Styela clava: one gene and its partner. The protein of the gene in region 1 purifies or fractionates together with the protein of each later gene. This does not show direct contact. Links are inferred from orthologs where the notes say so. Each region holds a gene or a part of one and is shown on either strand. Other genes may lie near its edges. The genes, in order: protein argonaute-2-like and endoribonuclease Dicer-like.

Evidence for each region.
Region 2: the proteins of protein argonaute-2-like (region 1) and endoribonuclease Dicer-like purify together in Drosophila melanogaster (affinity purification with western blotting; 5 studies listed by BioGRID, with this or other methods). This does not show direct contact. The link is inferred for Styela clava from reciprocal best matches to the Drosophila melanogaster genes AGO1 and Dcr-1.

What each region holds. Positions count from the first base shown.
Region 1 is NC_135255.1:14,039,143-14,049,261, forward strand, and holds the start of protein argonaute-2-like, read left to right. Parts: upstream 1-6,242; 5' UTR 6,243-6,330; coding exon 6,331-6,454; intron 6,455-6,830; coding exon 6,831-7,026; intron 7,027-7,458; coding exon 7,459-7,579; intron 7,580-8,823; coding exon 8,824-9,005; intron 9,006-9,390; coding exon 9,391-9,527; intron 9,528-9,969; coding exon 9,970-10,115; intron 10,116-10,119. Other genes in the region: uncharacterized protein LOC120331088, read right to left, coding at 3,023-3,173, 3,491-3,575, 3,732-3,831.
Region 2 is NC_135251.1:17,065,281-17,075,596, forward strand, and holds the start of endoribonuclease Dicer-like, read left to right. Parts: upstream 1-6,096; 5' UTR 6,097-6,221; coding exon 6,222-6,257; intron 6,258-7,037; coding exon 7,038-7,206; intron 7,207-7,880; coding exon 7,881-8,008; intron 8,009-8,182; coding exon 8,183-8,320; intron 8,321-9,323; coding exon 9,324-9,449; intron 9,450-10,064; coding exon 10,065-10,268; intron 10,269-10,316. Other genes in the region: nucleoporin SEH1-like, read left to right, coding at 746-1,818, 4,383-4,467. UniProt on the Drosophila melanogaster protein: Endoribonuclease which functions in microRNA- (miRNA) gene silencing and, independently of its ribonuclease III activity, also acts in the short interfering RNA- (siRNA) gene silencing pathway.

The DNA of each region.
Region 1 (10,119 bases):
TTTTTGCTTCGTGGGTGCTGTCGAGCAAAAATGTTCAAAACCTCTGATACAACTGTGCTTTGGAAGGGATTCCCTATAAATTCTTGTAGAACATATTCTGTGCTTATAATTTGTCTAATTGAGTTTAAAACTGCGACTTGATTTACTCTTGGTACGATTACATTTCATTTGCAGTGAAATAAATAGATTTAATCCATAATCAAACATTATTTTTATACAGTGATTGATAGAATACTTGCGAATTAAATTAGCGGAGTTAATCAGTCTGTGATAATTATTGTGATTAGGATTATCAACAAAAGGCTTTCAACGTTTTTCTACATCGATTGCGGAAATTCTGAGCAGCCATGAGCACAACAACACCAATGGAAACAACCGAAGGGTCGGCAGATGGTACAACTACAACGGTTTCCGACAGTGGCGGACTAACCACAGAACAAATTATAATAATAAGTGTAGTTGGTGGGGTGGTTTTATTAACAATCATTGGAATTCTTATATATTGCTGCATTAAAAAAGTTAAAAAGAAGAGAGCTTTAGAAGGAAAATACAGTCCTTCTGCCAACGAAGAGAAAGGCGGCGTGAGAATGGACGATATGATGACGGTTATGCAACCACCGCCACCAGAAAGACTTATCTGATTTATACTCTTCTGAAATTAAAGCCGTTTATCCGTGCTGCAAAGCACTTCGTCAACAGACGGTATGACAGGTTGGTTGGAGGGATTTGTGTTTGTTTTACTCCACGCCACCTGCAGGAGATAAATTCAAAAGAATTCGGTTCCGTAATTTAGAATAAACCGAGGGATCCAATTGCGGGTGCTATTAATCGCTATTTATTCAATTCTGAAGGTACATTTTCAAGCCCCCATATCATGGGTTTGTTCAAGAAACAATCGTCATTCTTGGGATATACTTCGTCAGATAATAGGCACCAGGACAATTTCTATGCATTTAATTTTCCGCTGTGTTCGGTACCTCGCAGACGCAGCATATTCTATTCTTTTTTTTCCTATTTCAACGTGACTGCGATAAAGTATAAGCCTGACCGCATCAAATTAGGCGGGCCGATATGCTTTGAACGGTGCTTAATAATGCCAATATTTTAACATTGTTTTTCGTTCCATTCAACTTCTTTTTTCAAGTATTATTATGTGCGTTATTTTTACCGTGGGAATCCTGACTGTAGGACCAAATCTTTTTTTGCCAAATAGTCATATTGTGAGATAGGGTTATTTAAATCTTTATATTGAGGACTGAGGTACATTACAGTTTTAAAGTACAAATTCAGCGTTTTGTCAATCAACTGAAAATATGTTTACCTAAACACACGGAAATGATTTAATCGAAAATGTTTATGTACAGAAATTAGAATTGCAATTTCTGATGGTTCATCTATATGTTTCAACTTTACCAAAATTTAATACCTAGTTTGTCACATTCAAAACTTACGGAAATTTGCTGCAAATCAAATATGGTTACCTTAAGATGCAACCTTGAAACAAGTTTCATGGTTATGGTGCAAAATTTTCATTAATTTGGTCTGGAATGATGTTTACCCTTTTCTGACAATCTTTTTTTTATAAATATACGTTAAAATATCTTGTATAACCTATCAAATGTGGTTTCTTTTAAATTGTTCTTTCTGGTCTTTGAAATTTGAGGTTTCTAGTTTATATGAAGGTCATTTTAGATGCATATATATCAGAGCGAGAGGGACAAACAAGCTGCGCTCGAATATAAGTATTTTCATTCGTCCGACCTCGAACATTTGAAGTTATAACCTCTCTCAAGGCCATGACAAGTTTATTGCATTTTATTGTTTTATTATTTCGATAGAATTTTATTAATATTGCTATGTAACTAACTATTAGGCAAAACAATTGTTTTTCTTATTGCTATTCAATATTATATTATGCCTTCTTTTATAACGTTTGTGCACATAGTGTATAATTTCTAAAATAAACTATAAAACAACAACTTTTGGAAATTTGATATCGTAACGCTTCTTCAGATCGTTGCTGTGCAGGATAAGCTTATTTTTTTTTATGTAGTGGCACTAATTAGGGTTGTTCATCTTCGCAGCCTGAAGGTAATATTGTAGAAATATCTAGATTCTAATTCTGACTCAACTATATATTATTTGACCTGATGCCCGCAGTAAATAAGTTCAAATATTTGATTTGGTGATATGCAGTTTTCCACACAGCTCAATACTTTATCGAAATTCGGACTGTGGCCATGTAACTATGAGCTAAGAATATTTGAGCACATGGGAAATGTCAGAGGACTCGCGATAAGTGAAGCATTGCGAAGGGCTGACACTATATTATTGACAATAACCATCCCTCAGAACTTCAAAACAACGTGTATCAGACCCATAACGATGGGTTCTCAATCCAGAATACCTTGAGTTATATGTTATAACCACAACAATATCTAATTTTTCACAAGTCGCAGTATACTGTTTCAATTTGCATGATATATACTTCATGAAATTAACAAGAATCCTCTGTCTAATTATTCGTGAAGTCGGCTTTTATCGTGTATGAAGAGATTTAGCTAAGGAGTTCTCATATGTCCACTTGCCACTTCAATACGCGCGTTTGTCATTGCTTTAAGTTTAAAGTATAAACCATTCAAGACTGAGACTTGCATTCGCATAGCTATTGCACAATGAAGTGGGATGTAAATGAGCTGAAAACAGTTTCATGTACTATCGGAGGGAAGACTCTATAATGATGTTTACCACACTGGCGCTGATTTATAAAACATCAGGCCTGAATCTTTTACTCTGTCGAAAATTGTAACGACTGAAACCGTAACTACTATTCATATTTGCATTTTAGATCAGCAATTCTTATATTTCATGAATTTGACATAAGCTCTAAGATACTTGTCAGTCCGAATATTTTAAATAAATCTTTCGTATATTTCAATTGAAATAAACTCAATTTTTATGCTCACTTCATCAATTCTAAATCCTAAATAGTGTTGTATAAATATGAAAAGGCCTGACGATGTCAATATTGCTGAACGTAATCAATGGACGAATAACGATTGCTTATCTTAGCGCTGTAAGTTTTATTTTCCTGATGCGGTTCGCACTTTTCATCTTTCGATATTGCATTCGTAGAATTGTCTTGTTTTCTTTTCTCAAGTTTTGTTTGGGACCTAAAAATGTCAAAAAATACAAAATTAAAGGCCCTGGTAGCGATTTCATGATTACCCGCTGACCGATATCGATAAAAATTTTCATGTTTTAATAGATTGCCCATTTCCAGTCAGCACGTTATTTTGGATAAAACCCCGACAAACAACATCATAAATGCAAGATCGGTTGTACTAAATTTATTTTAACTTTTCACCTTCTGGCGATAAACGCCAGAAGGTTTTTGTTTACAAAATAGATGACATCTACTTGAGTTCACAGCAGTATATTCTGCTTCACAAACAAGTTCTGTGCTTCAAAAGTGGAGGGTTAATTTTACCTATTGAAAAGAGTGGTAGTTGGTGTGGCAGTATCCCATCGTAAATCTTCAGCAACGCTTGCTTTTTTTAGCTTTTCGTATGGATCTGTAATAGAAAAGTAACTAAAACAACAATTATCCATGTTTTAAATGATCTGTAGCGCTTATTGCGGTTTGAATAACATTTATGCGGTTAAATATTAGTTAGATGTCGCATTATTGAGCTTAAGTATGAGGTTTAATTATAGGTATTGATAAAAACCTGGTGCTTCATCGGGGATCGGGTCACTTTTGTTGCGCTGTTCCGCTTTCCTATCGATCACCGCTTGCTTTCGGCGAGCCTCCCAATGAAGGGCAGACATTTTCTAATTCTAGTTTTATGACAATTAATAACAAAAAAAGTTTGTAATAGTTTTGCATTGAAATAATACGTTATTCTTACGTCATAATGATAATATCAAGTGAACAAGATTGAAGAATGAATCAACAACCTGGCGTTTACTTACAGTTAGTTTGCGGTATTGCTTCATTTTTTCCTTACCATCGGCATTTGATTGAATTACTTCAGAAACACAATTATCAGAAGTTAATGTAAATTATATGAATAAAACTAGGCAAATGAAACGCAGGGTGGCTCCGGAAATGAAAAGGTTAACCAGCAAGAAGAACAACAACATTTTAACAAAACGATACACAGTTACACCTTTTTTCAAAATAAAATTAGGTAACGCAATGGTGAGGTGTATTTTTCTTTGGATAAAAATTCGCGGAAATTTACCAGGTTTGGAATATTTGGTGGCGAGCACGAACCGCATCCGCGACGCACGCGCGTCTTGTGGTGTTTCTTTTTTCCTCGCACGGTTCATAGATAATAAAGAAACAAAGAAATTCATCCTTTGTGTTCGGACGCTTTGTCAGCTATCATTCGTTTCAATCGACGTCACCAACGGTCGAGCCAACCCTCAGGGCTGGGCTTCCCGATTTCGATTTTCTTGTTGTAGCGACCGTGCGTTGTCTTACGTATCTTGAGGATTCATAGTTTCGATTTTGTGCGTGCTGTAAATAACATTGTATATAACAGTAATCAAGTATATATTTCGAACAGCTTCCGTTAAACTGTAACAGTAAGGTACCGGTACCGGTACTGTCTGAGTGTACCGCACGGTGTTACTTTGACAGGTTGTCTAGTTGTTGTAAATCTAAAATGGTAAAACGAAACTCTAAAACTGGAGAAACAAGATATATCGCCCAGTAAAAAGAAAAATATATAAACAAAATAAAAAACAAAATAAAATTTCGCCACGCCATATTACAGTATTAATAATTTTGTAAGGATCGCCAAATTCTGAAATTGGATATAACAATTTTCTGGCAGTCTAGATTTTAGTTCAGAAGTTGAAAGTGATAATAACCTGACATTATCTACGGAGTTATCTTTTGCTGACTAATTATTATTTCAGTCAGTTTTTATGTACCATATTATTGTAACTGTATTCTGGTATTAGACCAGTTACTGAGTTACCAATATGAAGCTGTAAATAGTTTTGAGAAAATGTAGGCTAGTATGAAATAGATTGATGAATGTCTGAATGTGGTTTTGGTAATTAGGATAAATACAATTGCCCGAAAATGCAACTTCTGAACTTTAAAATTTTTCTTTTAAATCAGGCCTCAGTCTAGTCCCACATGTCTGGCTGGCTTACTAATTCAGTACGGCACAGCTCTCCGATACCAAGGATAACTTCCACATTAAAAGACGTCAATTATAACTGCGATTGCAAACCTCTTCTCTACCAGACAGTCTCGGCCTCCATACCGACAACAAACGGAAAAGAAGCTCAATCAAAAAATGTCACTATTGGATTTTTTGGAAAAAAGAATCTGATTTACCATAGGTTAAAAAATAATTTTACAGTAGCATTCAACAGTTTTTAGCAAAAAAGCAATTTCGGTCATGTGACAGCCACGTCGTGATTAATTTAGATTATCATTGAGACAAGCACGGTGTGATCTGCCGTCGTGCCATACGCCCTCATTTCAGAGACAAATTGAGCGTTTGTTTTATTGAATGTTGGGACATCTTGGAATTGGAGAACTGTGACCTACTGTAATTCTATAATTAAAATTTGCTATAAACTGATATCTGGATATATTCAATTCAAACAGGCAATCTGATTCTGTAATTCAAATGAAGTCAAAAAGCAGAGATGTGGTATAATTCGTTATTTGGTTTCAGAATTATTCAATGGCCATGGCTTCATCGTAAATGTCTCAGGCTGCTCTTATCATCATCTCATATTTGCATATTATGTCATTCCAAATCTTCATCTGATCTGACTTCGTCATCCAAAAATAACGTTACTATACAGACAGTCGTCCAATACACGCAGACGATCACCCGGAATCGAGCAAGCTATGTCGTATACACAGCCAAATTCTCTTTCTTTTTCTCATTGTAACTATCCCGATATGCGACAGGCCGCTGGGCGGCTGGCGTTAGTGAGATCATTATCATAGACGCAGACCATTTGAGCGATCTTTGGCAAGCTCTGACTTGATCATGACATAGTGATGTATTTCTTGGTTGGCGTAATCAGATGAGCGTTAGGAATAACATATGCAAAAATGGTTATGCCACTAAACTAAATTAGACCTATCATAGTTCTTAGTCCGATATAACGTTGATAAGAGAATGCATTAATATAATTTACTTATACTAACTTTGGTACAGTAATTGTATCTGATTATACTTCTGGTACAAATACAGAACTGAATTGTGTTTTACAGCAAATTTTATATTATTGGAATATTTTAAATTTTACCTCAAAAAAGCAACTGCTCAAGCAGTAAAAGACTGCAAAATGTTCACTCCTCAGCAGTCATTTAACCCACAATACCAACCCACGACAGCAGGAACACAGCAACAGCCCCCTACACCAGTTGCTGCTGCTCCAACTGCAGTTACCCCTCCAGTCAGACCTGCAGGTAAACAGTTTCATTTCAAATATTATTCAATACCTTATGCTTACATTTTTCAGATTTGTCTTATCTGATGTGTCCTAATTTAGGTTATGTTTGACTGAAATATTATAGCAGTTTAATGTACATTTATAAAATTAACTGGATACTTAATTTTATTTATTCTCGCAGTTATAAGAAGTCGAATATGGTTTATTTATTTTGTCTGAATTAAAATGTTTTTGGTGTCCCATGTGATCATATTTTCTAATAAAATTGTTTTCAATTTACTCCTAAAAATAAAAAAAATTGGAAATATATACAAACGTTCAGATTGTGTTTCGTCTTTCTTTTTTCTAGTTATGTCTTTATTTTATATTCAAAATAACGCTTATTTTTGTAGTTGGGGATCCAAGGTTTCCGATTGTTGGTACGTCAAAAGCCATAGACTTCCAAGCACCAGCCCGTCCAAATGTGGGTCAGATTGGAAAACCAATCTGGCTGAAAGCAAATTATTTTAAAGTATCCATTCCTAATGGAGATATTCATCATTATGACATTGATATCCATCCAGACAAATGCCCAAGGAGAGTAAACAGGTAGTTAATTGAGCGTATATTTTTTGATTTTCTTATTTTAGTGAAGATAGAAGAGTGCCAATTCTAGCATTAAATTTTGGTATTTAAACTTCTGTTGTTGTTGTTTTTTAATTAAAACAATTTTTCAACTCAACCTTACTCAGTTTTACATGTTTTTTTTTTTAATCATAATTGAAGCTATAAGAAATTTCGAATATTTGCTTTATTCTTCTGTTATACTGATCAGTATTCAGAATTCCTCTTAACGATTTGCTTGTTACGGTAATTTTTCTTTGTTATAGATTTGAGGTTTTACAGAAACTCAATATTAGATGAAAATATAAGTATTTTATATAAGTCCATAGTATTGATAGTTGATATTATATTATCGAGTTTCCGTAAAACCTCAAATGTTTTATTGAGTATTCTTCATTATGCATTTTCAACTTTCAGAGAAATTATTGAAACAATGGTGGGAAATTATCGTACTGCAATCTTCCAAGACAGAAATCCAGTGTTTGATGGCCGTAAAAACCTCTACACAGCACAGCCACTGCCTATTGATAATCAGAAGGTTCATACATTTTTTTTTTCATTCAAAATATATGTATAGAGTGAATATGAAACCACTTTCATAAGTTCGAAATTCTTTGAATATTTAAATTATTTATTTGTTGGGACATTGAAATTTCAACAATATGTGTTGGGTTTCTGGGTTCTAGTTAGTATTATGATGTTTTCAAAGATTATGGACAATGGAGAGTTGTATTTAAATACCCATTTTATCGTATAATATTATAAAATTACTATGTTTTTGAATCTGAAGTATTTACACGATGGTAAACAATTGAAACATTGCCCTTTTTCACGAGCATTGCGTCAGAATTCGAATGAGGAAGTGTCTGCTTTTGTGTTTATAGCATATGCTGAATGTGAATGTTTACTCCAGTATCGGTTCTCTAACATTTTTTTAGAAAAGCCCCTTGTATTTATCAATGGTGAAAATGCCAGCACATAAGCTTGTCTTTTATATATTGTTTTTTCAAGAATTTTCGTATTCTATGATATCATCAACTAAAATATCTTGGGAATCGGGTCAAAATAAACCTAAAACATTGTCTGATTTTGTTTTCTCTTATTTGGTTGTGTGTCTATGACTAAGTAGTCATAGCGCATGGGGTGTGATTTTATTGACATTTTAGAAATTAAAATACAGACCGAATATTAATAATTACTTGTGTGCTAGTCGGTAATGGTTTGGGCCCTGATATTTAGGGTGTTGTTGCTGTTGTTACCACCATATTTATAATTATTATATTTGTTGGGAAACTTGCAATATCAAACAATCTATCGTAATTTAATTCAGTCAAAATATTTCGTCATGTGTCTTAAATCTGAATAGATTATTATCTATTCTATATTACTAGTTACATAACTGCTCAAAAAATGATTTTATCTTTACCGAAAATCAAACGAATAAAATATGACTTAATAATTTTTAAGATTAGTTAGATTACCTGAAAATTTTTAGCATTGGCACATAACTGTATTGTAATTTTTACTCTAAAGTACTTGACCACACCAATTCTACATGACTTCTGCTGATCAATATTATCATTATCAATCATATTCATGGGATTAAAAGTGCTGATGTGATCATGTGACTGACAGTGCATAGATCTTCATTGTTAGATCCTATATAAATGAATATTGTCAATGAATCTTTATTGATCATCAAGTTTGAACTATTATTACCTATTGTAATATACAAGGGTGACTTTGAAAGCATCTAATATTTCTTTTACTTTTTGTTTATAGCTTGAAGTGGAGGTGACATTACCTGGGGAAGGCAAAGATCGTACTTTTCGGGTTGCAATAAAATGGTGCGCTCGTGTATCTCTCTATTCATTGAAATTGGCATTGGATGGAAAAATGCATGGGATTCCATTTGAAACTGTGCAGGCGTTAGACGTTGTCATGCGTCATTTACCTTCCATGAAGTGAGTGTACTTGTTCTTTTATTTGTGCGCATACATCCATAGCAACATGAAATTGTCTATGGTTGTTTGGGATGGATATTATTAAAACTTGAGGTTTTCATTTTATTTGTCTACTCTGTCTAACTAAATGTTTTATTATGTTCCAATTTGTTAATATTTAACAATTGTGCATACCAACTGTCTGCCTGCTTTTAAAGTAGTTTTGACAGATTTTCAAAAATTAGTCATGTAAATCATGTTTTTGAACGTTTCAGTTTTTAGCCATTTCTCATGACAATTCATTATTCACCTCTTTGGCCTCAAAAGAAAGTGCAAATTGCTATCATTCATTCTACCTTTATATTTCCGTATAAGATAATTTAATAAATACTGCATTTTTTTCTAGATATACACCTGTCGGTCGATCATTCTTTTCATCTCCAGAAACATCAACTCCATCTCTTGGACATGGAAGAGAAGTTTGGTTTGGTTTTCATCAATCTATGAGGCCTTCGCAATGGAAGATGATGCTAAATATTGATGGTACATTAACGTATAGCCTATATATAACCATTAATAATTGGCTTGGAATGTTATCGACCACACACTTGGAGTTTCACTCGTTAAAATTTCTTACTCGCAAATACTAGACAAATTTATTCAATTTCAAATTGTCAGTGCTTAATAAAGCTGAAGTCGCTAGAAGACTTTTATTTGTTAAAAAAAAAATCGGGCCTGACAGAGTTTATTATTTTAGCCTATTTCAATTTGTGGGAATGCTGTTTTGACATTTGCCTTAGTTTCCATGTATTTCAAGTTCAAATTTTTTAATGTGGGATTATATTATATCCCTATAGTAACATATTTTCATATTTGATAGACTCGTAAGTCTGTGGCAGGCAAATGTATATGAGAACTTATTTATGATTTTGAATTGCTTTTTGCTTTTGTTATCATATTTTCATTGAATCTATTCTTCATTTAGTTTCTGCCACTGCTTTCTACAAAGCTCAGTCTTGCGTTGATTTCCTATGTGAAGTGTTAGAGATTCACCGTGATGATTTACACATGATTAGAAGTTTGACAGACTCTCAAAGAGTCAAATTTACAAAAGAGATTAAAGGATTGAAGGTAT
Region 2 (10,316 bases), on another chromosome or scaffold:
ATCTTAAATGAAGCGATATGGGCATGTTTTTGTCCGTTTTGTGTGTCACGCCACAAAGGATGTAGTGCCACATTATAAAATACTACCGTTACTACTAAATAACACGTTTCTTGTGTCTTTTTCCTCACGCCAAAAAAGAAGCTTTGTCGGTGGTACGCGGCCATAGTGAAAAACAGTGAAGTGGTACGCGGTCAGTAAAAGGTTGAGAACCACTGAAGTAGACCTATTGATTTTTGTTGTGTAAAAAGAATTCTATTTGACTCTATTATTCAATTCTACAAGCCGGATAGTGCTGTAAAATATTTATGAGTTCTAAACTTCAGAAATTTTTTGTTTTTATAATTTCCATTTAAACTGATCACAAGCTAACACCATTGCCGTTTACTATTATTATTGCATCACTTCCTTTTTTATTTTTTTGAAATAACGTCTCAATAAAACACAACCAAAAAAATTGAATTAATGAGAGTATGATGCAAAACATTTGAACCACTAACTAAAGACATGCATGCATCGCGGGTACCCATCTCTTAATGAATACCAAGTGGCCAGTACCAAGAGCTACAAGGAGGCTGTTTAAATCAGAACAATCATGAAAGCACAATCAATTTACTCAAAATTTGCCCAAATTTTAAATTTAATTTTAATTAAATTAAATTTTAATCAGAACAATCATGAAAGCACAATCAATTTACTCAAAATTTATATTTTACATATCTCAACTTGTAGTAATTTTATAGCTAAAATGGATGATACAGAATCACTAGCTGAATTTAGTGCCATTAAGATCAATGCCGAACATAAGGATCTTATTCATGACCTTGCTTTCGATCATTATGGAAAGCGTATGGCGACTTGTTCCAGTGATCAAACTGTCAAAGTATGGGATTTAGATGATGATGGTGATTGGTACTGCAGTTCCAGCTGGAAAACTCACAATGGTTCAGTCTGGAAAGTATGTTGGGCTCACCCTGAATTTGGGCAAGTGCTTGCAACATGTTCCTTTGACAGAACTGCTGCTGTATGGGAAGAGATTGTTACTGATACGACAACATTGAAAAATAATAGATCATGGATACGTAAATCGTCTCTTGTGGATAGTCGAACATCTGTAACTGATGTAAAATTTGCTCCAAAACATCTCGGTCTACAACTGGCTACTTGCTCTGCTGATGGAATTGTACGTGTTTACGAAGCACCTGATGTTATGAATCTGGCTCAATGGTCTGTTCAGCATCAAATCAAATTGAAATTAGGTTGCAGTTGTTTGTCCTGGAACCCCTCAAGTTTTTACAAACATCCTTCAATGATTGCAGTGGGTAGTGATGATAATAACCCATCCGTGGGCGGCAAGGTTTTAATATATGAATACAGTGAAATCAATCGTGATTGGGTCAAAGTTCACACAATAATGACAATAACGGATCCTGTTAATGATATTGAATTTGCTCCGAATTACGGTGCGATGAGACACACGCTTGCCGTAGCGTCAAAGTGTGTTCATATTTTTGTTATGAAGCTTTTGAGTGATTCTAAAACATCTGGAACTGAATCGTCTAGCTATTCTGTGAGTGAAGTCGCTAAATTTGATGCTCACAATAGCAAAGTATGGAGAGTTAGTTGGAATGTTCTTGGTACGGTGTTGTCATCGTCTGGAGATGATGGAAAAGTTCATCTCTGGAAAGCTAATTATTTAGATAATTGGAGAAAAGTTGGAACATTGAAAAATTTGCAAGATAATAAAACAACACAAAGCAATGTTTCAAGACAAAATAGCTCCAATGATAAAGGACTGTCCAATTCTCAACAAACTATCAGGTATGCTGGTGGAAATGTTCGAGGTGGACAACTTTTTTAATAAAATTCTGCATGTTTGCAAGTTTTAAATATTTTTTCTAATTTCATTCAATTCGAAACTTGCAATTCTGAGTGTTTGCATATGCTTTGTTCCCAATAATCTTGTCTTATAATTTATATAATTTTGAGGCATGGTTATGTATTTGCTATATTCAAAAAAATTGTACATATAGAAATAAAGTGAAATTTGTGATTGCATATTGAACTAATTTAGATTGGTAATGTAGTATTGCTCATCTCAGTCAAGCATAGGCTGCTAGGGCAATACATAGTGAAATTGTCACAAATTTGGGGTGATTGCTAGACATTGCTTAGGGTAAAGTGGTGGCTTACAAAGATTGAGAATTATCGTTTATCCTCATATATGAGCCGATTTCACATATAAGCCGACCCCGTAAAAAGGCCCTTCAGCATTGTCGTCTATTATGGAATGTTGGCATATCGGTATTGACGTTTTCAGCAGCGGTGAATTTTTATAAAAAATTCGTATTTAAGCCGACCCTACAAATCATACGCCCTTATTGGTAGGAAATTAGCATGGTTTGAGTGGAATTAAGTTAGCATAATATCATTTCGTTTGAGTGCGATTAGAGTTATGCGCTTTTATTAAGCCAAATTTTTAGTGCGATTAGAGTTATGCGCGTATAAGCCCTTAGTTTCGCAACTTTTTTGAGCTTTGTATTCGGCTTATATGCGAGGATATCAGTGATTTTTTTTAATCATCGTCAGTGCCTAAATATTAAATTAACAGAGGGGACCATTGAAATAGCAACTGGGGCTATTAATCTATCTATTCGCAACTAATTCATGATGCCTTGGACATATCGTAATTGAAAAATATTACTGTGACATGATTTTCTGTTTTTTTTTCTTGACATATAACCAAAAAACACATGTATAGGACAGGCCTACATGGTGAATAATATGCTCAGGCTGTGAAGTGGAAACTGTGGTACCATGAGATTCACAGGTGCTAGCAGCTTTGGTGTGAATTAACTGTAAGTTTACTCCAACTTCATTGAGTATTACTGGTGGCCATTTCGCAGAAGATTATGACCTATGATCAATGTTCCCTCTAATTTTTTGTAGTATGTGTGCGCAGAAGTTTTGGTGTGTGCGCACTTTTTTTGAAATGACTAATATTTGTGCAAATACCAATGAAGAAATTTTAGCGTTCTAACCGGGTAATGGGTGGGCCAACAACAAACTTTATCAACCTGCCAACCGAGAACATTGTTACATTACATCGAAATAGGTCTGTGCGCAGTAAATCTATGCGAGTGCGCAACCGCGGGCACACGCGCACACTTTAGAGGGAACACTGCTTATGATACATTGCTTTGAGTATATATATTCTCAAAAAAATGTCACCAAAATTATATTTGACCAGTTTGACCACGAGTACTGTGTCTGTAATGCAGCGCTCATAGGTGTAGTTTCAGTTTGGGTGTTATTTGTATTTGAGCAAGTTGGTATGTAAATACCGGTATATCTAATTTGTTGATAACCATCATTTTTTATTTGAAACTGCCATTTATTTTCATTTTCTTTCAGCCTTTTCTGTTGTTTTTCTAGTTTTAATATTTTTTCTTAATTAAACAATCTGCAATCAGTGCCAATTTTTGTTTGAGGAAAAATCTTACTTTCTGCTATCGCATTGACACAATTTCTCAGAATTTTAAATTATTTGGTGGTTATGCTGAAATTATGTATCGAATATTAACAATTAGTGATTATTTTTAATTCTTGTTTGATCACACATGTATCTGGAGTTATTTGTTCCTTCTGCCTATGATTTTAAATATGGTTACTGTCAAATCAAATGGAGAAAAACAAAATGAATTTTTTCTACAAGGGATCAAAAAACAGAGTTCTGGTCATTTGGAGCATATTCTAGAACAGTGGTTCTTAAACGGTGGGGCGCGCCCCACAAGGGAGGCATAGACAATTTTGAGTGGGCGTGTAGCTAATAAAAAATAAAAATATTTGTTACATTTAATCTTGCCTATTTTATTTTGCCCAATCTTTGTTGGATATTTTCATTTCAAAACTTTTCATTATTTACGTTCCATCCACGCATTTTCAACAGGTTTTTTAGATAAAATATACTTTCGCTTTGCTATCTGTTATTTGTAGCTTATTGTTAGCTAGTTATTTTTTGACTTAATAAATTCCAAAAAGGGCTCGTGCCTTAAAAATTTTGAGAACCACTGTTCTAGAAATGACCATAACTTTTCTGCAAATCGTCCTAGATTACTAAAACTTTTGCGAAGAATCTTACACAAACAGAAGTTTAAGATTGTTAAATAAATATCAATTACATAGAAGTACCGTAATTAAGAAATTTATGGGCTCTGTTTTATGGGTCACCTTGTATATATATCCCTGTAGTTGGGAGTTTGATAAATCTACAATTTTTTGAGAGAATTATTGAATTTATTTGGGAAAGTCCTAATTTAATGTGAGATGTATGTTCTTATGTTTAATTTTAAACCATCGTAGACTATCATGCTGTGAATTTTCAGGAGTGGATTCATGAGATTTGTGCCTGGAAGAGAACCACCATCACCTCGACCTATCGATCCTCGATTCGAAAATGCTTATTATTGATGTTCCTATAGTGATAATGTTTATCAACTTCGTTGGCGAACTTTATTAAAATCTATTTCATCACTTTTACTGCAGTGGAGATGAATATAATGAATGAATAAAATTTGTTTTTGGACACTCAGTGGACTTGTGAATCGATTTGCAATTGTTGTTGTTGTTAAAAAATTTACTTTTGTAACTAATGGACCAATAAATTTCATATTTTTAGTATTTGCAGATGGAAGAAAAACTAGAAGTCTATTCCTTTTTTATTTTTTAAATTCCTGAGTCATATGGGACCTGCTTTATTGCCTTTACAGTTAAATTAAAGGGAACGCTATTATCCTGTAATGGTCATGGCTTCTTTGTCAATCTTGTCTGAAAACAGGAAAATCTGTGTTTTCCCACCTATTAATCCGCTTTGCCCATGTCTTTTGCCAGTACATTTTGGTTCTACCAGTATTTAGTGGATGCCACCAATACCCTTTACTGATTATTATTTCAATTAATAAAATGACTCAGCAGTCAACTTCATGGGACATTGGTATAATCTGTGGCCCATGTTTTATAATTGGTCTCTTCCTCCATTTCTTTTTTATAAATGTATTCATTTTGAGTATTCTGATATACTGTATATTTACGTATGTGTTTTTGCTGACTTCACATTTTCACTAAATTAGGGTTTACACTTCAAAACATTAACAATATTTTCAAGACCATGCTTTGTAACCCACTTTGTAGGATTTCAAATTTTCATATCGTGCTTCATAACTCACTCTGCACATATCATTCAAATCGAATGTGGCCTGGCCCCAAATTTCTCATGGCCTGGCTTCTTTTGAGTGGCCTGGATCTAGAGTCACAAAAAAGTTATCACTCCTGTTGCACCTAGATGTAGAAAGCCCTTGGGATTGGAATAACTTGGTCCTAATTCACTTCATCATCTGACTTAGTGAAGTGCTGTGTATGATTGGACTATGCTTCATGGCTCAGTTCCAAAATCTTTTTGACACGCCATGGGACCTCTTTTTTATAAAAATGTATCTAGGTTTGCTCTTAACGAGAGCCAATCTGTTATTTTAACAAAAACAAAAAAGCCAATGAACGAAAGTTAAGCATTGCAGTCGTTAAATTTACTAATCAAAATTAATTTACTATTATTTATGTAATCATCGCAAATGCTACCCGGGATACACCTCTGCTCATTTCCCTCGGAGAACCACTGTTGCTCCATAGGGGGCAGAGGGCCCAGTTGGAGAAACACCCGACTAGAACAAGATATACCCGCATACTTTAGCTAGTCCATCATTAAACACTAGGTCATCATATCTCCATATATTTTAAACCACCTAATAATAGGAATTGATATTTTGTACATTGTGTTTATGGCTTTAGATATACCGGTTGAATTATATTCCATAATGCTTCTTAACTTGAAGTTCTTGATGATAATGTTATTGGAAAAAGCTTTTGTAAAAATCTAATTGTAGTCATTTGTATGAATGAAAACAACTGTTTAATGTGAAATCTATAGTTGCCTATCTCAACTCTGTGAGGAAACACTGAATATTTGCTTGCATTATGTTCTTCCTTTATTATTAACTTACAAATGCATAGTTTCATTTAATCACTGATTGTTGTAATTTTTTGGTTTTCTTATCTATTTATAAGTTGCAATAAAATTCTGTTTAAAACAAATAATGGACTAGTCACTAGAATCATAAATGTCAGTGATCTTTTATTCATGAATAATCCACATATGAGAATAAAGCAAGATGCCTGCAAATGTATTTACACCCAGGCCCTATCAGGTATTTAAAATTTGTGAAATTAAGTCAAATGTTGTTGAACTTTTGCATAGTGAAATGATATCTTTGGTTCAAATATTTATAGTCGTCCTATGATTATATTTCCACACAATTATGTCAATTACGGTAGTAACAAATTGATGAGGTTGAGATTTGTAGCATTTTGGATGGCTTTGCCTTTCGTACATGTAAGCCCAACATGCTGTTCATTGATAGCACTGTTAAGTATTTTAAACAATTCCAGTTAGCAGATATACTCTTGTGTGCTTTCCGTGCAATATTTCAACTGGGCAAGTTCAAATTATTTCTAATACTACATCTTGGATTAGGATGTGAGTGCAGGAAAACAAAATAGCAAAAAGTTCACTTTTCAAAAGAGGGCTTTATATGAATAGTTTTTTTTTAACCATGCTGTCAATTTCAAAATATATTTACCGGACCATATGGTGCGCTGACAATAAATTGCTCAAATTGGGTTTTTATTCATACATAAGGCCCATCAGGCAATATAAGACACACTGGGTACTGGTTTTGACTGGAGACAATAAATCCCTACCTGATCCATACAATAGGCACATGCTTTATAAGCCACACCATCGGATTGTTGCGAAATAAAAAATATTTCATGTGTGCCTTATGGTTCGTAAAATACAATAATACAGTGAAGTACATTGAAACAGTAAAATGTGTTATCTCTGAAGGTTCACCCATGAGTGGTTTATATCATTTATTAAAATCAATTTTTATTGGTATTAACCCACAACTTCATTACTAATATTTCAGATAGAGCTGGTAGAACGAGCTTTGAAAAGAAATACGATTGCCTGCTTGAATTCAGCATCTGCAAAATCATTTGTATGGATGACATATCTTCGAGAAATATTGGGAGAATCTTTCAGACCTTATAGTAGTGATGGTAGACAAACAAATGCATTTGTATTGTTTTATTCAGGTGAGTGTTGGCTATGTAACTGTTGTTTATTTTTGGAATTGATGTTATAAATTGTTTGTAATGATATCAACTATGATCAAAATGAAGAGTGGGGATAATTATTTACCAGAAGATTGTTGTGTATGGTGATACAAGTAACAGCTTGTTGGTTACGGCTTTCTCCGCCATCAAGTGCATGCATTTGAAACAAAAAACTGATTGACTATTCGCATATCTGATTTGGACTGGTAACCGAACGAGAGGCCATGGTTAGCCATAGGATTAAGCAAACTTATCATCTCTACACTTCCTACAATAAATATGAAAACCCTATCCTATTACACTATGTATATCCGTTTTTGAGCATCATGTTGATTATTTATAACCACATGATATCAGATAAGTTTTAGCTAGTTTTTCATTTTTTCGTGATTCGAAACTCTTATCGTACTACCTTTTATCATATCCTATATTTTCAGCATGACATAGGCAAAATTAGGCATTATTAATCTTTACCATTATTTGTAATACCACGGATAAGATTTATAAATTCAATGTACTGAGGTTGGTAATAGAGCATGATTTTTTTATTCCATAAAAACATTTTTTGCATTCTTCCTCCAGCATTCATTTTAATAAGTAATTCAAATATCTCTGACTAAATATCAATTTTATATATATATATATATATTAAGATTATTTTGTTCGTGAGTATGGTTTAAAGCTACGATGTCATCTTGACATGAGCATTGCATCAATTACATCTGATAAAGGTTCACAACTTGACTCATGGGGATGGGATGAAATTATGTTACAAAACATGGTGAGCCAAAAAAAATAACAATTTGTTCATATCTGATTATTCAAGTATTATGTAGTTTTGTTATTGTTATTTCAGATGTTTCTATAAGAGTTTGTGTGGAATTCGTGTTTGAAAATACATTTGAGAGTGGGAATTTAATCTTTTATCATTTCTTGAATATAATCTTATTTACAGATTATTGTGACAACACCTGAAGTGTTTTCTGAAGCTATTACAAATAATATGTTTGATATTGAATTTGCAAGTATTTTGATATTGGATGATTGTCATACGATTTTAAGTCCTGACAGTGACTACAGAAAGATTTTACAGGTATAAAAAACGTAGATTTTTATCATTTTGGCTGATAAATTTGAGAAATTATACGTAATTTTACCTATTTTTATATTCATTTGAACATGAAATTGTTGTTGTTAATTATGAGTGCCAAACTTTTAGAAAACTTTTGTTCTTGTATTAGACATATCTTCAGCATAGTTAGTTTTTATAGGATTATATTGTGGTGGATTCTTCTCATTTACCTAGTGGTTTCACCATTGGACCTATATTATTGTAGCAGGTGAAATATTCTCAGTTTCGAACCCCGTGCTCATCACTTCATATGCTGTAAATTGGTTAGGCAGCATCATACCATTTTTTTTGGTCCTATCTAAAGAAAACTTCTTGCAATAGCTTCAGTGTACGTAGTAGCCTCAGTGGCTTCTAGCAGGACTGGGGAGTTGAATTCAGAACATGAAGCCAGAGCGGGAGCCAAGCTTAGAAAAAAATAACTAGTGTGGCTGGGGCCTACTGAAACTTTCATGGGCCTCAGCAACTGATGCCTAATATGATTAATGAAAAATCCATTCTTTCCTGCCTATATTATATTTATAATTTTCTAATACTACATAAAAAGTTTGAAGTTGAATTTATATACTTGAATGCCTAATTTCCAAATTTGAAACCCCTGTATAACTGCTATTGGACTGATGTTTCATGTTTGTGGTCGAGCTAAAAACCCTAATGGCCCTGGAGCCAGAGCTCTGACATAAAAAATGAAGCACTGGAGCTGTAGCCACAGTTTGAAGGAAGCCATGATTTTAAACCAAGCCCTGGCTTATTGTATGAAGCCATGTTCAGAGTTAAATGTGAAATTATCTTATCAATATAGATAAAATAATATAATTCAATTTTACATATGGAAGATTAAATTTTGATTAGTGTAATTTAGGTAATCTGAATTTGTTAAGTTTAGTCTTTTAGGTAGAAAAATTTGAAATATTGTGTTGATTTTAAGTCAGGCATCTTTCACTGTATTTTCTACATTATTTAAAAGGTTTTTGACAAAGCGGGAAAAAATCCGTACATTCTGGGGTTAACTTGTTCGCTACTACGAGAAAATGGCTCAGCATCAGTATTGGAAAAAGACATCAATGAAATGGAGAGATTACTTCATTGTAAGGTAATAGAACCCTTCTGATGACTGAAACTAATTTTTCTTTTTCTAATTGAAATGAGTCTCAATCAATACAGTCATTACTTATGGACATGCCTGTTTATAAATGTCAGCATTTGGTATATTAATAATTAAATATTTTATGTTGAAGTGATTAAGTGACTTTATTTGAATAATTTACTTTTTAAAATGCATTTAAATTTAATATTACTGAATATAGAATTTTGAATATTATTATAAAGTAGGGTCATGGGCAATAGAAAAATTTGCAGAATTCATCGTTAATTGATAGAAATTGAAACTGAGATGCAGAATAGTGGAGATGATATTTTTAAAATCTTTAATTCATTATATCCTATTATTTATTGTTAATATTAACTCTGATAGCATCACAGGTTAAAATCACTGGTTCAAATAAGTGATATCAAATCAAAAAATTCTGGTTCTTCCAAGCGTTAGGAGCTCCTCACTCAGTAGTAGCTTCTTGTGCAGAGTCTTGTTCAGAGCAAAAGGTTTATAAATATCTTATTGGAAAAATATTTACTGTTTCAATCTGGCAATATTCTTAGGCATATGCTTGGATTGGATTGTGAAAAATTATAATATTTTTACCTTTTTCAGGCAGAGACTGCGACAGACTTGATTGCATTGGATGGATTTTCTCCATCACAACCAGATGAAAAAATTGTTCTTTGTGCTGCAAGAAAACCTTCAGTAGAAATTTATAATAATGATGACAAACTGAAAAGAAAAAAACCTGACAAAATTTGCTCTGAAATAAGAGAAATATTAACTCCTGCAATTGAGTGGTTGAAAATATGCAAGGTATATATATTAGTTGTATAAATTCATTTAATTTGATATTTATTTTTA